Linked DNA regions of Elephas maximus indicus. The protein of the gene in region 1 interacts with the protein of each later gene in a pairwise test. Links are inferred from orthologs where the notes say so. Each region holds a gene or a part of one and is shown in the gene's direction. Other genes may lie near its edges.

The links.
Region 2: the proteins of COPB2 (region 1) and COPA interact in a two-hybrid assay, tested with the Homo sapiens proteins (2 studies listed by BioGRID, with this or other methods). The link is inferred for Elephas maximus indicus from reciprocal best matches to the Homo sapiens genes COPB2 and COPA.

What each region holds. Positions count from the first base shown.
Region 1 is NC_064844.1:37,619,959-37,627,806, forward strand, and holds the start of COPB2 (coatomer subunit beta'), read left to right. Parts: upstream 1-4,805; 5' UTR 4,806-4,921; coding exon 4,922-4,924; intron 4,925-7,848. UniProt on the Homo sapiens protein: The coatomer is a cytosolic protein complex that binds to dilysine motifs and reversibly associates with Golgi non-clathrin-coated vesicles, which further mediate biosynthetic protein transport from the ER, via the Golgi up to the trans Golgi network.
Region 2 is NC_064821.1:199,026,507-199,033,474, reverse strand, and holds the start of COPA (coatomer subunit alpha), read left to right. Parts: upstream 1-3,916; 5' UTR 3,917-4,046; coding exon 4,047-4,086; intron 4,087-6,968. Other genes in the region: NCSTN (nicastrin), read right to left, coding at 2,033-2,137, 3,736-3,820. UniProt on the Homo sapiens protein: The coatomer is a cytosolic protein complex that binds to dilysine motifs and reversibly associates with Golgi non-clathrin-coated vesicles, which further mediate biosynthetic protein transport from the ER, via the Golgi up to the trans Golgi network.

The sequences.
Region 1 (7,848 bases):
TGTCCGCTGGTCTCCGATGTGGGTGGGGTGAATCCAAGTGGCACGGGCGCTGCCCTTCCTGGCTGGCCAAGCCACCGCAGCCAGCCAAGAAGCTCGGTGGTAGAGAGTGGGGACACAATGGGGGTTGGAAAAGCAGGTATCGCTGGTTGCTGAGTGTCCTGTCTCCGGCTGGGAGATCCTCAAAGCTGCTTTCGCATGCTCCATTTCTCCCAATCCCTGACAGATGTCCAAGCTGGCAGGTCAGTGCTGCGTTAGCTGATGGGGCCATCTGCAGGTATCTCTGCTCGCTCTCTGTCCTCTGTCAGTTTCTTATTCTATTCGGTGATTGGCTGAGTTCTTTATCTCTTCATTTGACACTTCAGGTTCCAGAAATGACATTGTCATAAAAAATTTTTGCGACTTTCCATGAAGTTTCAGGGTTGTCAGGAGTTTATTATAGGTCACCGTGAAATAATACTTAAGTTATTTAACTAAAGATCTTAAAGTAGGCTGCTTTCCCCCCTCCCCCCCAAAAGCCACGTGGCTTAGTTTTCAGCTCAGGAATCTTAATCTAATGAGAGGCCAACCTTCTGCTTTTGAAGCAGATCAGAGAAAGAATAAACTAACCCTTTAACTCAGAAATCAAAGAAAATTTTGTTATTTAATAGCTAGAAACCCAATACTTTGTTTTATATTTTATTTAATGTTAAAGCGCCTAAAAATATCATAAATCAAACCATGAGACTTTAGTCAGACAGATAAATCTTTTGACCATACCAATTTCTTTTTAATAAACCTCTTAAATGTTGTCTTTGTTGCATACCTTTTATAGTGCATCCCTTTAAATGGCAACAATGAACTCACTCATCAGCCGATCCAAATATACACATATATCCTTCCTCTTGTGGCATAAAAAGCTTAAATTACAACAAATATCTATTAACTCAATTTAACATCAATAAATTACCTAAAAGGCCTTAGAAATTATTTTAAGCCTGTATTTTTTTATACCATAAAACACATCTGTTCTTGAAAGAAAGTCTGTTTAAACATTCTAAGTTTTCATTCAACTTTTACTATTTCCCATATTTTCCCAATCTAATGTTTGCCCTTAAAGATTTTATCAACTGGCTTCAGAAGTCTCTGATCAACTGACCAATTTACTGATGCGGATATAACCTTAAATGTCTGGCTAGGTTATATCCCAGGCCATTTCAAGTGTGTCTCATTCTGACTTCTACATGACTTTGGAGACTGGAGGCTGGGGAACCCTGATGTTGTCCTACCCTCTCTATTTTTTGACTCATGGTAGAAGACAAAATTAGGCCATTTGGTTCATTTATATATGTTTAAATTGATTGAGGCATTTTGAAAGGCTATGTACCCAGTAAATACCAAAACTTTTTAGCAATTTTGTAAATGAATCCGTCAATTCTTGGCTAGTGAGACTGGAGGCTGAGAGGGGGTCATCCTAATTCATTTACATATGTTTAAATTGATCTAGGCATTTTGAAAGGCAAAGGATAACTAATTTCTTTCCCTTTTATTATTCTCTTGGAAAGTAGTTTTGTTTTATCACAGCCTTCTACGTACCCAGTAAATACCAAAGCCCTTTAGGAATTTTTTTTTCTAGACTTCCCTCCTTTTTCATACTCTGGAACTGTTAGTTTTACTTTAAGACAAAATTATCCTTTTTCTTTAAATAAAACACATTTCATATGATGCCTAGCTTAAGTTATTTAGAAAGGATTTGTTTTTATGATTGACTTAAACCTAAAGTTTTTCAATATAGGTACTAAAAATATAAATTATAAGACAAACACAAGACACAGTTTTTCTCGATGAGGAAAGAACTGAGGTTCTAAGACAGCCTTACAAAAAAACAGCAATTCTCAGCCATAGCCTCCAACCTGATACAAGACAAAAACTTAGACACAATGCTCTAGATCAGAAGCAAGCTTTCAGAAAAAAAGGAGACAGAAAGACCACATAAACTCTCCAAACAATACCACATAAAACAAGGTTTCTTAAAGTGTATATAGCAGTTTTTGGTAAGATTGACTCAATTCAACAGAAATAACAGGTTTTAGATAAAACATTAACATGCCAGAGCATCAGATCAGGAATATTATTGTGATTCTTTACTGAGAAACTCTATCATAAAACAGGTATGGAGCTACCACTTCTCCCTGCAAATCTGGCAAAACAAAAGCACTATTTTCCAGGTTTTCTCTGAGCCATAAAAAGAAACCTAATGAGGAACACCACAGGGTTTGGACAGTGTTTCACTTAGACCAATGTGTACCTTTGTTGTGTGTTTGCTTGTGGGTGGCAGGTAGCCTAGTGCTCTAGCCTGTCTCTCAACCACCTTATCCTGTCAGGGGAGTCTTTAACACTCATGATGAGTACCAACAATCACCTCAACGGCTTTTACCTGTGCCCAAATTTTTTGGCTTATAGTGGTTCAGAGCTCTTTTGAAAATAGAATTACCTCTTTGATGTTTCAAACACCTGAATCTGGACCTAAACTGTAGTTCACCAAGAGTTACTAGATATCACTCTTAAACAAACAATCAAGCAAAAATCTAAGGAAGACTCTCCTTAAACAACCAGTTTTTCAAACAAATATACTGAACAAAACTTAAGAAAATATGAGAAAAAGAACAAAAAGAATAAGCAAAGGCTCATTTTCCAAGAGCACTCACCCTGTTGATGTCAAAGTGATGTGAAGTGTGAATGCTTGGGTCCAGAAGGCAGGACCTCTCTCTTTGCCAGCTTCTGCTCTGCAGTCCAGGTCTCCTTGAGGTCGACTGGATTCCTGGATTTAGAATCCCCGCAGCAACTAACTCTTGCAGGGTGAAAACACCACAAGGTTTAGTAAAGCAAAAAGAAAGGTTTTATTGAGCATATATTTAAAAAGGCAAGAGTAGGAAAAGGACAAGCATGCTGCCAGAGTCATGTCTGTCCGAGTCTCTGTTCCCAGTTCTTAGGGATGCACCTTGGTGGGCCGAGTTTTGGGATCCCTTGAACGTTCTCCATTTTCTAGATACACACACTTATACAACCTAATCCGGTACAGCAATTTAACAGGTATGTGAGCCTTTTATGCCCCCAGCAGTCAATTTCTCCTGCCTCTTGAGACTCTTCTAAGGCCTTACCTAGGCACTTACCAAACAACCCAGGTGTGTTTCATGTCTCTCTCAAAGCCATGCTTACGGTCCCAGGTGGGGGGATCAGCTTTCAGAGCTGCTCCAAGGTCTCTAGAAATCACCTAGTGGCACCAGACATTTGGGCTGTTCTGTTTTCCAGTCCACCCTGGGAACCAAGCAGATGGCTCCTGGCTGGCTCGCTAGAAATGTTACTGGGTAGAAACCCCAGGTTCTTACTTGGCATGATTCATATTTACCAATAAATGAGAGACCAAGGTGGGAGAACAAGAAAGGCACCTTTATATTTCCTTGTACAGGGAAGTGGAGCAGTTGGAGCTACTGCTGCCAAGACTGCTCCCCAAGGACTAGTAAGCAACCTACTTTTAAAGGGGTTTACAAGTAAGGAGTTCATACAAGTTATGTCAGCAACATTCTTAACCATACTATGCAGATGCAACAGGGTTTACATATAACCTCCAAGCAAAAGGAGGATTCGAATGCAAAGCTGCAGTACTGGGGGGGGGGGGGGGGCGGGGGATGGGGCCCAGTAAAGTAAATGATTTTGCAATACAACACTGTAAGGGAAGAAGCCAGGTAAAGAATACAACACTTTAGGGGTTCTGTCTCAGGACATTACTAACTTAGATTAATATAAGGCAGGTTACTGGAAGCTGGGCTAGGAGGGGTAAAGTTACAGCACATTTCTCTTAGAAACAGCTTGCTCAAGTGAAATTTTTCTTGTCAGCAGTTACCTAGGAGACCTAGATAAGAGTCAGCAACAAAGTCTTCTTCTTGAGACATTGTTTCAGAAAGGGTCTTGATAACGCCCCTGAAATAATTTGTATATATTAAAAGAAAGGCAAGATGGAGTAGGGCTCCAAACTCTAAAGCAGCCATTTTACTTCAGTCAAGTGCCTCAGTTTACTTGCTCACTCAACACTTACTACCTATGGCTTCGGCCAGGACACTTCTTTGAACCTGTTTCCTCATCAGCAAGACGGATACAATTCGGGTTTGATGTGAGGATTTGAGAGGAAAGTATGTTTGGCACACAGCCCAATACTCAAATATTTGATGAATAAATGAAAAACACAACCGATACTCAATAAACGGTGATCATACATGACTTAGCGTTCCAAACTCCTAGTGAGCTACTGAACTGAAGACTCTTTCGCCTCCCTCCGCCCTCGGAGGCCTGATGCTCAGTCTGGAGTACGGCTCATATTTTCTCAGCCTCAACCAGTGCCAGGCCCATGGCCTGGAGAGAACGCTCTCGGTCTCTTCCTCTTGTCCGCCAGGAGTACATTGGTTTTGGAGCTATGCTTCGCCTCCTCTCTCTCCCTTTCCTCTTCTTAATGACACCACTCTACTATAGGGGAAGCTTCTCCTGCTGTTAGCGACCAGCGGAGATTCAGCACTTCGCTTTTCTCATCCTTTTTCTCTCTCAGTTTTCCGATTCTAATCTCTCATTTTTCCGGTTCTAGGCCTTGTTCAGCCGCCCCAGGACACTACCCTCCCGGTGGAGCCAACGCCACGTCTCTGAAATGACGCCAGGTCGGACCGCTACAGTTTTGACAATGGCTCGTTGCCTAAGAAACAGGGGAGGGGCTTGGGAAAGCGACGGACCTGCGCCGAGTTTGCGCAGGCGCTTGGGCCGTCACCTTCTACTATCGCGAGAATCGCCTCCCGGAAGTTCCACGTCAGTCAGCCTGCGGGTCCTCAGGTCGGTGGTTCTTTCTGAGCCTGAGTCGGCGGTAGCAAGCGAGGGCCTTCGGACCTGGACGGACCGAGCCATGGTAGGTCCAGGCCCCGCAACTGGAAGCGGGGCCCCGCCGGGTATAGCTGGCTCCTGGGACTCCGTGGCTGGGGCCCGCAGTAAGCAGCGGCCTGGGCTCCTGGTGCGGCCTTGCCAGGTCTCGATCAGGCGTGAGCCCTGAGAAGTTTGAGAAGGCTGTGGGGCCCAGGAATCCAAGGTGGTTTCTCGAGGCACTGCCTGTAAGTGAGGGATCTTTGACTTCCCTGGTGCTTGTCAGAGCCCCTTCGCTCTGCAGTGAGGTCCGTAGTCCAGGGACTCTAAGAGGCAGAAAATGTTGAACTGCGTAAGAAGGTGTGGTAAAGTTATTTCATTTTGCCCTTAAAACGATGACTGCTAACTTAGCGGAGAAGCTAAAAAAAGTAAAATGTTATGTGGAGTCAAAAGGGGAATTTTAAGCGCTTTAGGATCCCAGCTCTTAAATTTCTGGTGGGAAAAGAGTTGGGGAGGGGAGTTCATAAAACTGGCTAGTGTGCTTTTCTGCATTTGCAAATATAGTGGCTGGTAAGAATGGCAGTCACAACTACACTTTCTTTTTATCACCCTCACCCTAGAAAATGCCCTAAAATACCGGAAGACAAATGTCTTTTCAGAAAAATGTAAGAGTCAGTGTTTTATATTTAAACATTTTCCTGTCTTTGTACTTGTTAGAAAGCATAAGATCAATGATTTTAAGCCTGAAGACCTTAAGGATTAATTAATCCAAGTCCCTCATCTTGCATTAAACAAAAATCCCGTAAGTTTGCACAGCTAATTGCGGCGGAATTGGTACTAAAACGGGAGTTCTCGTCATCTTTTATGGATCATTAATCTCTTGGAGAAACTGATAAAAGTGATGGGTACTCCCAGAAAGGTGCATGGAAGAACATACACAGCTTTACATAGAATTGCATTGGGTACACGCTCTAGGAAACCCTATGGGGCAGTTCTACCCTGTCATTAAAAAAAAAAAAAAAAAAAAAAACCCATTGCTGTCGAGTCCAACCCTGTCATATAGGGGCGGAATTCACTTGATGGCACATAACGACAGCAACACACAGACCTACTTCCCATCCCCAGCCTCCTCTGTGGCCTTTCTTGTATCTCCAGGTTAAGAGGCCCTGAATGAGACCTCAGATCTCTTAATTATACGAACTCAAATCACTACAGCCTCTGGTTTGAGCTCTGCTATGCTTGCTGTAACATTTTCAGAAAAGGACCTTGGATCTGCCTAATTCCTTTTTTTTTTTTTTTTGCAATCTTTTAATTAAGAAAATGTATTTCTGTAATGAATTATCACCTCCTTTCATTTAACGAATTTATAATTTTTTGTATAAGTTGAAAAGTATAAATTCATTCATTTACCAGAGAGCATTTATTATGTGCTGTGTATTTCAGTAAAACTTGCCAGTTGTGAGATAGAGCTATAATGTTATATTGAGTGCTTACTATAAACTAGCCACTGTTCTAAGGGCTTGACTTTGAATTTAACTCACATAACACTAAGCAGGAGACAATAGAACTCTTTTTGTTATATATATGTTGAACCTGAGAGAGGTTAAGTAAACTTGCCCACTCTTGCACATGTAAAATGAGTTGTGGAACTAGAGTTTGAGTACAGGCAGCATGACTTTCTAGACTTGAGTTATACTACCTATCGTCAACCCCTCATATCCAAATATATGTGGTGCTATGGAGATTAAAAAAAAAAAATTTTTTTTTTTTTATGGAGATAAAGACACATATAAGAAGTGACCCTGTCCTCAAGGAGTACCTCCTGTAGTAAGCAAGAGACATGTACACAAATGTACTGTGAATGCTTGAAATCCTATAGGAAAAGAAAGGATACTTCTGGCTCAGGTCATCAGAAAGGTCTTATTAAGCTGAGTCCTAAATGCGTGCAGCTTTGGGAAGATGGAAATGGAGGGAGACATTTAGAGTCGAGGGTACAGTATAAGCAAGACCAGGATCCTTATCTAACGAACTGCTCAGCACTCTCCCCAAATACAATAGGCTACTTCCCTCCATACCCTGTAGAGATGTCTGTCCTTGCACCTCAGGTACTTTGTGACAGATTTTGTTTGTAGAAGTAATACAGTTAATAAAGTTGTAGAAGAAATGAATGGCCCAGCATATTCAGGGAACAGGAATATTGAGTAGTTAATTTGATTAGTGTAAAGTTCATTCAAGGGCATTGTGGGAGATAAGTCTTAAAAGGTAATTAAGAAAAAAAAGGTAGTTGGGAAATAGATTTTCAAGAGCCTTGTTTTTAGGTGCTGTCTAGTTGGTTCCAACTCATAGCCACCCTGTGTACAACAGAATGAAACATGGCCCTATCCTGTGCCATCCTCACCATCTTTGTTATGCTTGAGTCCATTGATGGAGCCGCTGTGTCAATCCATCTCATTGAGGATCTTTCTCTTTTTACTGACCCCCTACTAAGCATGATGTCCTTCTCCAGGGACAGGTCCCACATGTCCAAAGTGTATAAGACGAAATCTTGCCATCCTTGTTTCTAAAGAGCATTCTGGCTGTACTTCTTCCAAGACAGATTTGTTCGTTCTTTTGGCAGTCCACAGTATATTCAGTATTCTTCACCAGCACCATATTTCAAAGGTGTCAGTTCTTTGGTCTTCTTTATTCATTGTCCAGTTTTCACATGTGTATGAGACTTTTGAAAACACCCTGGTTTGGGGGCAGGGTGCATCTTAGTCCTTAAAGTGACATCTTTGCTTTTTAACACTTTAAAGAGATCTTTTGCAGGAGATTTGCCCAGTGCAATATGTCATTTGATTTCTTGACTGTTGCTTCCATGGGCATTGATTGTGGATCCAAGTAAAATGAAATCCTTGACTTCAATTTTTTCTCCATTTATCATAGCGTTGTTTATTGGTCCAGTTGTGAGGATTTTTGTTTTCTTTATGTTGA
Region 2 (6,968 bases), on another chromosome or scaffold:
GGGTTCGAGCTGTTTGGTTTAAAGCCCAGTCCAAAAGACAACAGCCCTTGCCACAGCATTTGAAACGTGGGACAAGGAAAAGATAGTCTAGCAAATAAAAAATATATAACTTCAGCTCTAGAAAGAACTAGAACAAGCTATGACGCTGCGCTGAAAAAAAACCTGTATTCTATTCTGGGTTCCAATCAGTGACTACATAATCTTAACTAACTTGCTTACTTTCTCTGGGGAGAAGCTTTTCAACTCTCTAGTCATCTCATACTGTGAGGAGAGATATAAAAAAAAAAGAATCTACATAGAGAACTTTGAACATCTTAAAGAAAAGAGCCTAAAAGAATGGCTATTATAACCAAAAAAATCAAACTATTTTTCTTTAGCTTTATCATGCTTAAAACTCTAATTAAAGAAGCTGTAGCCTATTCAGAATGGACAGATATGATGAGGTAAGACTTACAGATAAGTAGGCTGAAACAGGAAATAAGGCTTTAATGAGGGAATGGCCAGAGTCCAGCCCTTCCCTTTCATTCCTCTGTACTGGAACTTGGCTTTCTCTCTAAAGGCTATTGCTTTCTTCCCACAGAGTTGCTCCAAGAACACGCTAGGAAATGCATGTTTGCATTTTAGGCTTCCACCAACTATAAAGTTGTATTTTCGAAAACAAATACATATAAGCAAACACTTCTGTGCATTACTGTTCCCAGAGGGGATTTCTTAGAGCCCAGATCCAGGAGGATGGACTCCTGGCCTCTGATACTTACAGTGAGGTTCTAGCAAGACCAGCAGTCTGATCTCAGTCTATACTGGACCTGGCTCTTTTCCACCTGCAAATGCAGTTAAGGAACTAAGTCCAACAGAAGTTCTGTTTGGGGTGGTTTGGAACCAGTCAATTCAGTCCCAGTACTTTCTGTACAGGGACATGGGACAAATAGCGTATAGTGTATACACAGACACTTCCCAGGGTTTGTATAAACACCTATAAAAGGTACTCTGATTTTCAGCTTTGTGCAGGACTAGTCTAGCCATTTTTATAGGTGTAAATTCAATTTTTTTGATGATGAAGAAGCAAGATAGGGCCCTGAGTTTCCTGCCTATCTGTGAAACTACACTCACTGGCCGTGAAAGAACAAAATCTAAAGACAGCAGGTTAAGCAGCAGAGGAACTGGGGTTTGGCCTTCACATCACACCTTTTTTTCCCTCTGTGATGTCTATAATTTTTAGAACCATGTTGCCACGGTTTTGGAACACAGTCACAAAGCATAAAGACAAGTCTGAACGTTTTACTAATTCTTCCTGACAACTATTTGGCATTCTTAATGCCTTCTTCTCAGTTCACTGTTTTTAAGAAGCCCATTTTGGTTCCAAAAAGATCATTCAGAGGGCAGAGGATGACTAGGCTCCACAGGATATGAGACTTCTACTTAGAAGGCAGTATAGTAGGATGATTAAGTCTTGGCTTAGAACTCAGACCCAAAAACAAACTCACCGCTGTTGAGTTGATTCCAACTACAGGACAGAGTAGAACTGCCCATAGGGTTTCCAAGGCTGTAAATTTTTACAGAAGCAGGCTGCCACATCTTGCTCCTGCGCAGCGGCTGGTGAGTTTGAGCTGCTGACCTTTCAGTTAGCAGTCAAGCGTTTTAACCACTGCATCACCAGGACTCCTTGACCTTGGACCACTACAGTGTAAATCCTGGCTTCATCACTTATTATTAGCATGACCTTAGGAAAGTTACTCAACTTCTCTAAGCCTTGCTTTCATGATCTTTATTTAAAATAATAAGACCTACCTCATGGAGTTGTTATGAGGGTCAAATAAGACATTCATGTAAAAAGCTGGGTATGTAGCACTTACTAAGTGTTAGCTCTCATTAATTACCTTGCCTGGTTTGCAAGATGGTTCTCTATCACTTCCTGCCCACACAGTTTAATTTGAGTGCCGAGTCTCCCAAGCAGGATATGGATCTTAATTTATATCTAGGGCACAGACTAAAATATCATTGGCCACAAACACAAATCCCAACCCCAACTCACACTGGCAGCCAATCTGATGAGTGGCATTGAGCAGACGGACACAGGGAGCTGTTTTATTTAAGGGGATGTAGATCTTCCTCTCCACTGAATTTCCCCTGCACAAACCTGAGAAAACAGAAAGTGTTAGAAGAAATTGTGAGACGTTGATATTAGCCTCTGCTATGTCATGAGTTTACTGCATTAAGTCACTCAATATCACATTTTCTAAAATGGGAAGAATATCCATTCCTCTCACTTTTTGGGCACATTATTAAAGCAGATACATGCTCTACAAAGCACTCAACTAGTGCTTCAGAGGGTTATTACAATTTCCACACAGAGAAGCTGATTCTGAAGCTAAAAGAGAGAAAACTTGATTTGTCAAAGAAAAGGCACATTTGGCCTCAGCTGTGTCAGCTTCTGGCTGCGTGGTTGATCATATGTCTACTTTTCTGTCCTGTATGTATATTAATAATTAGTTAATAATGGGGTACAGATTACAAAAACAAAAACTTTCTGAGATACTTTTCCAAGAGCCTGAATAGACCTTGTTGTTGGTGTTCGGCGCTTTCGAGTTGGCTGACTCATGGTGACCTTATGTGCAGTGGAACAAAAGAACAAAACCATGCCTGGTCCTGAGCCATCTCCGTGATCTTTGACATGTTTGAGCACACTGTTGAGGCTGTTGTGTCGATCCATCTCATTGAGGGTTCCCCTTGCTCTCACTGACTCTCTACCAAACATGTTGCCCTTTACTGGCAATTGGTCTTTCCTGATGACATGTCGAAAACAAGATGAAGTCTTGCTATCTACGAATCTAAGGAGCATTTTGGCTGCATTTCTTCCAAGGCTGATTTGTTCGTTCCTCTGGCAGGCCATGGTATATTCAACAGGAACAGAGTTGGGAGACACTTTATGCCACACACACACCTGTCAGAGTTAATCAACTCTTCACCAACTACACCAAAAGCGCCAATTGGTGGTTTGTGTGTGCCCAGAGTGGGGGGCAGCTAGAATTTCTCATTTGGGATCTTTAAACACAATACGAATTTGGAGGAAGGCACAGTCATGGTTACATACAGGCATATTTGCATTTTAAGGCTCCAACAAGTAGAAAATCATGTATCAAAAAATAAATACAAGTAAGCAAACACTTTTGCACACCACAAATTCATAAAGTTCCTTGGATCATTACTTCAGGGTCTAAACAGTTAAGAATACCCATATCAGAAGTCTCACTTTACAGATGAAAGAAACTGCGGCAAGGCAGAGGGCCAGGGGTTTACAGTGAAACCAACAGAGGAAGAAACGAGGAATCTACCTTCCTAAGCCCTGAACCCACAAAACGAGCCTGGTTTCATCTTAAAAAGTCAAAACGTTCTGGGAAGGAAGCTGAACACCGACACCTGTCTCTTTTGATTGTGGATAGGGTGGCTGGGGCCGTGCGAAAAAATCAGCATTCGGACAAACTGGGAGATAGCCGGGCAGGAAGTCCAGGAAGAGGCCTGGAAGTAGGAAGAGAGCGGCACAATGTGCCGAAGGGAGAAGGGCCTTCAGGTCCAGGAAAAGGGGGGAACTTCTGTCGCGGGAACGAAAGAGAAAAAGGATTTAGAGGGCGGGGGGACAGAGGGGCAGTGGACCAGAAAGGGAGACGGCGGCGCTAGCTGCTGGGCCGATCCGGAGGGTTCTTACAGAGCGAAGCTCACGGGCATGGGAGGCCTCACCTGCCAATAGGACGCAGAAAGACAGAAGGTGAAGAAGACCCTGACTTCCCCGTACAACCTCACAGCCGCCCGCAGCCGTAGCCATCTTGCCTCTCAGTTGAGCGGAAGCCTCGGTTCCCCTTCAGTCTGGTAGCGGCCTCTCTAGGCCACCACTGGCGTCATCTCTGTGGCCCAGAGCTCCAGAGACCGGAAGTTCGTGTCTTGAGGCGCTTCCGGTGGCTACTGCGGAGGGACGCTGACGTGGAGGCAACCAAAGGGCAGCAGGGAGTGGCGGGCCTCGGAGTAGGACCTCGGAACCGGAGGTCGGGAGGATGCTAACCAAATTCGAGACCAAGAGCGCGCGGGTCAAAGGTATTGGAGAAGAAAAGGGGGAGCACGGAGGCTGGATGTCACGGGCGGCGCTGTCACGGGGGAAGAAAGGGAGTAGACATGCTGGCTGAGTTTGGCCCATCGACGGACCCTGAGGAGGACGGGAGGGAGGGAAGTTAGGCCTGGAGGGCCGTTCTCCAGTCTCCTCTTTGGTGTGTCCTCGGGCCCTGATTTACCTGCAGAGTGGTTTCCAGCCCCGCAATCCCTTAGGTCAGTTCCCTGTTCTTTCCCCTCTCATGCTCCTGGGGGCTGTGGCCGCGACTTTCTTCTGCCGGTAAGGTCTTGTAACCTCTTGTCTTTTTGCTGATCGTGTTGTGGGGAGTGGTCTTGGGGATTGAGTCTCCATCTGTCACAGGCACCCGAGTCAGTAGCTTTGTTGGAGACGAGCACTGGCTACCTCATTTAAGGAAGCCTTGGCTGCGTCATATCACCACCCAGTGCTTCCACTAGGGTCTGTTTCTTACCGGAAAACAGGACTTTGAGGTCTGTAGCTCTCAGTAAAATCTGAGCTTTGCAGGATTGTCAGGTAAAATACCGGACGTTCAGTTAAATTTGAATTGAGATTAACAACGAATAATTTTTTAGTATCGTTCTTTGTTTATCTGGACTTCAAATTTGACTGGGCATTTCCTGTATTTTTATTTGCTAAATATGGCAACCCTAGAGCTTGAGTGTGTAGAAGAGAGGGGTGGAGTTGGGGGCAAATGGCTGAAATCGCAGCAGTAGTCTTTTAGAGTGTTTTAATGGCAAAGGCAAGGAAGTCAGGTCTGCTGAGAACTGGAAAAGAAATTAAAGCAGCAGTATTTGATAAGATGCAGCATAGCAAAGTGGTTTGGAACTTGGTATTTGGAATGAGATGAACTTGCTTCAGTATCCCGAAATAGTCACTAACAAGCTGTATGTGACCTTGGGCGACGTACTTAACATCTCTAAATTTGTTTCCTCATCTGTAAAATGTGAATAGTTACTATTCTCTTATAGAGAGAGAATGCGCCCCAGAGGTGCAGTGGTTAAAGCCCTCAGCTGCTAACTGAAAAGTCAGTGGTTCAAACTCACCAGCCACTCGTTCTGTGGGAGAAAGATGTGGCATGTAAAGATTTACAGCCTTGGAAACCCTATAGGGCAGTTCTGCTCTGTCCTGTAGGATCACTGTGAGTTGGAATCGAATCCCGGGGAACGGGTTGATGGCATGAGTCAAAACTGGCTCCGTGGCACCAGATAACGAGGTATATCATAAAGGTAAAAAGTGAGCAACCCAATGGAAAAATAGAATGAAAAATTTAGAATTAGGAATGTAATTGTTTAATAAACAAATGAAAATATGCCACACCTCACTAATTAAAGAAATGCAAAAAAACAAAAACATTTTTTTGTCTTAGGTTAACAAAACAGCAAATAACGGATAACATCTTATGTTGTCCAAAGTCCGGTGAAACAGGTACCTTTATAAACTTGGTGAGAGTCTATACTGATCCACCCTTTTTGCATTTAAACAGTGTTTCTTGCATGTGGTTGCCGTGAGTTGGTTCAGATTCAGTGCAGCTAACAACAACCATCATCAGAATTTTGAATGCACATACCCTATTCTTGAGCAATCAATTCCATTTCCAGGTCTTTAGCCTAAAACAGTGATAGTGCAGATAGGCTACGTTATATGTGAAAGTGTCTTTGTTGTTATTAGTTGTCATGTAGTCCATTCAGACTCATGGCGAGTATCTTCATTACAAAAACCAAACCTGTTGCAGTGGGGTTGATCCCAACTTAGAGTGACTCTCTAGGACAAAGTAGAACTGCTCCATAGGGTTTCCAAGGCTGTAATCTTTACGGAAGCAGACTACCACATCTTTCTCCTACAGAGTGGCCGGTGGGTTTGAAGTGCTGACCTTTTGCTTAACAGCCGAGCACTTAACCACTGAGGCCACAGGCTCCTCGTATCTTCATTAGGTCCTGTTTTATTGTTGTCGTTTTTTATTAGGTCCTGTTTTTTGATAGCCAAAAAGTGGAGGAAAAAACTTAAATGCCCATCAGTAAAATAATTTAAAAATGTGATGCATTTGTACAGTACACTTAAAGAGTGAGATTATGTTTATGTGTACTTAAACAGAATGAGATCTATGATATATAGCCACATGAGAAAAGAATTTTGCAGAAAATTATAATGTGATCCCCATTTTCATACAATGAATAAGATCTACGTTTGTATGTAACTACATTAAAAATCTGAAAAGGAATACTCCAAACTGTTAATAGTAGTTACCTTTGGGGACTTCCACTTCTAGTCATGGTAGAGTGACAGGGGCCAGATTTATCTTCCAACCTTAAATATCTACACAACCGGACAAAATGTATGAAACAAAGCTTTTCAAACACTGGACAACACGCAGTGCAGGAGAGTGATCCTTGAGAGAAGGGAGATAAAGGAGGTGAGTCCTATGATTGTTTTAGCTTGCTGCCTGAAGAGAATTTCCAGGCCACAGTAGCAGGAAGGAGGAAGAGCCCTGTGGTCTCGCTGAGTTGAACACACAAGAGTTTAGTGTTCAGGGAAGCCAAGGTGGCTAGAATTTGCTGGACAAAGTACCAGTGGAGAGAGTTGCACAGAGATGACTGGAGATCTGCATGGGGTCCCCTTGGGTCTTTGACTGAGGACTCCTTGCATGTGCATGTGAGGAAACTATTCAGGGCCTGGGCAAGAACCACTGGAAAGTAAAAAGCAGAACAGTCTGTGGAGCTCACACAGGGCTTGGAATAGTTTGTTTCTATGAGCCAGAGTAGAAAGGTCCTGATATACAGGGCACCATGCAGAGGCGTCAGAGGGGTGTTGCATTAATACCACCGGGTACCAGTAGCCATTGAGTCGATTCTGA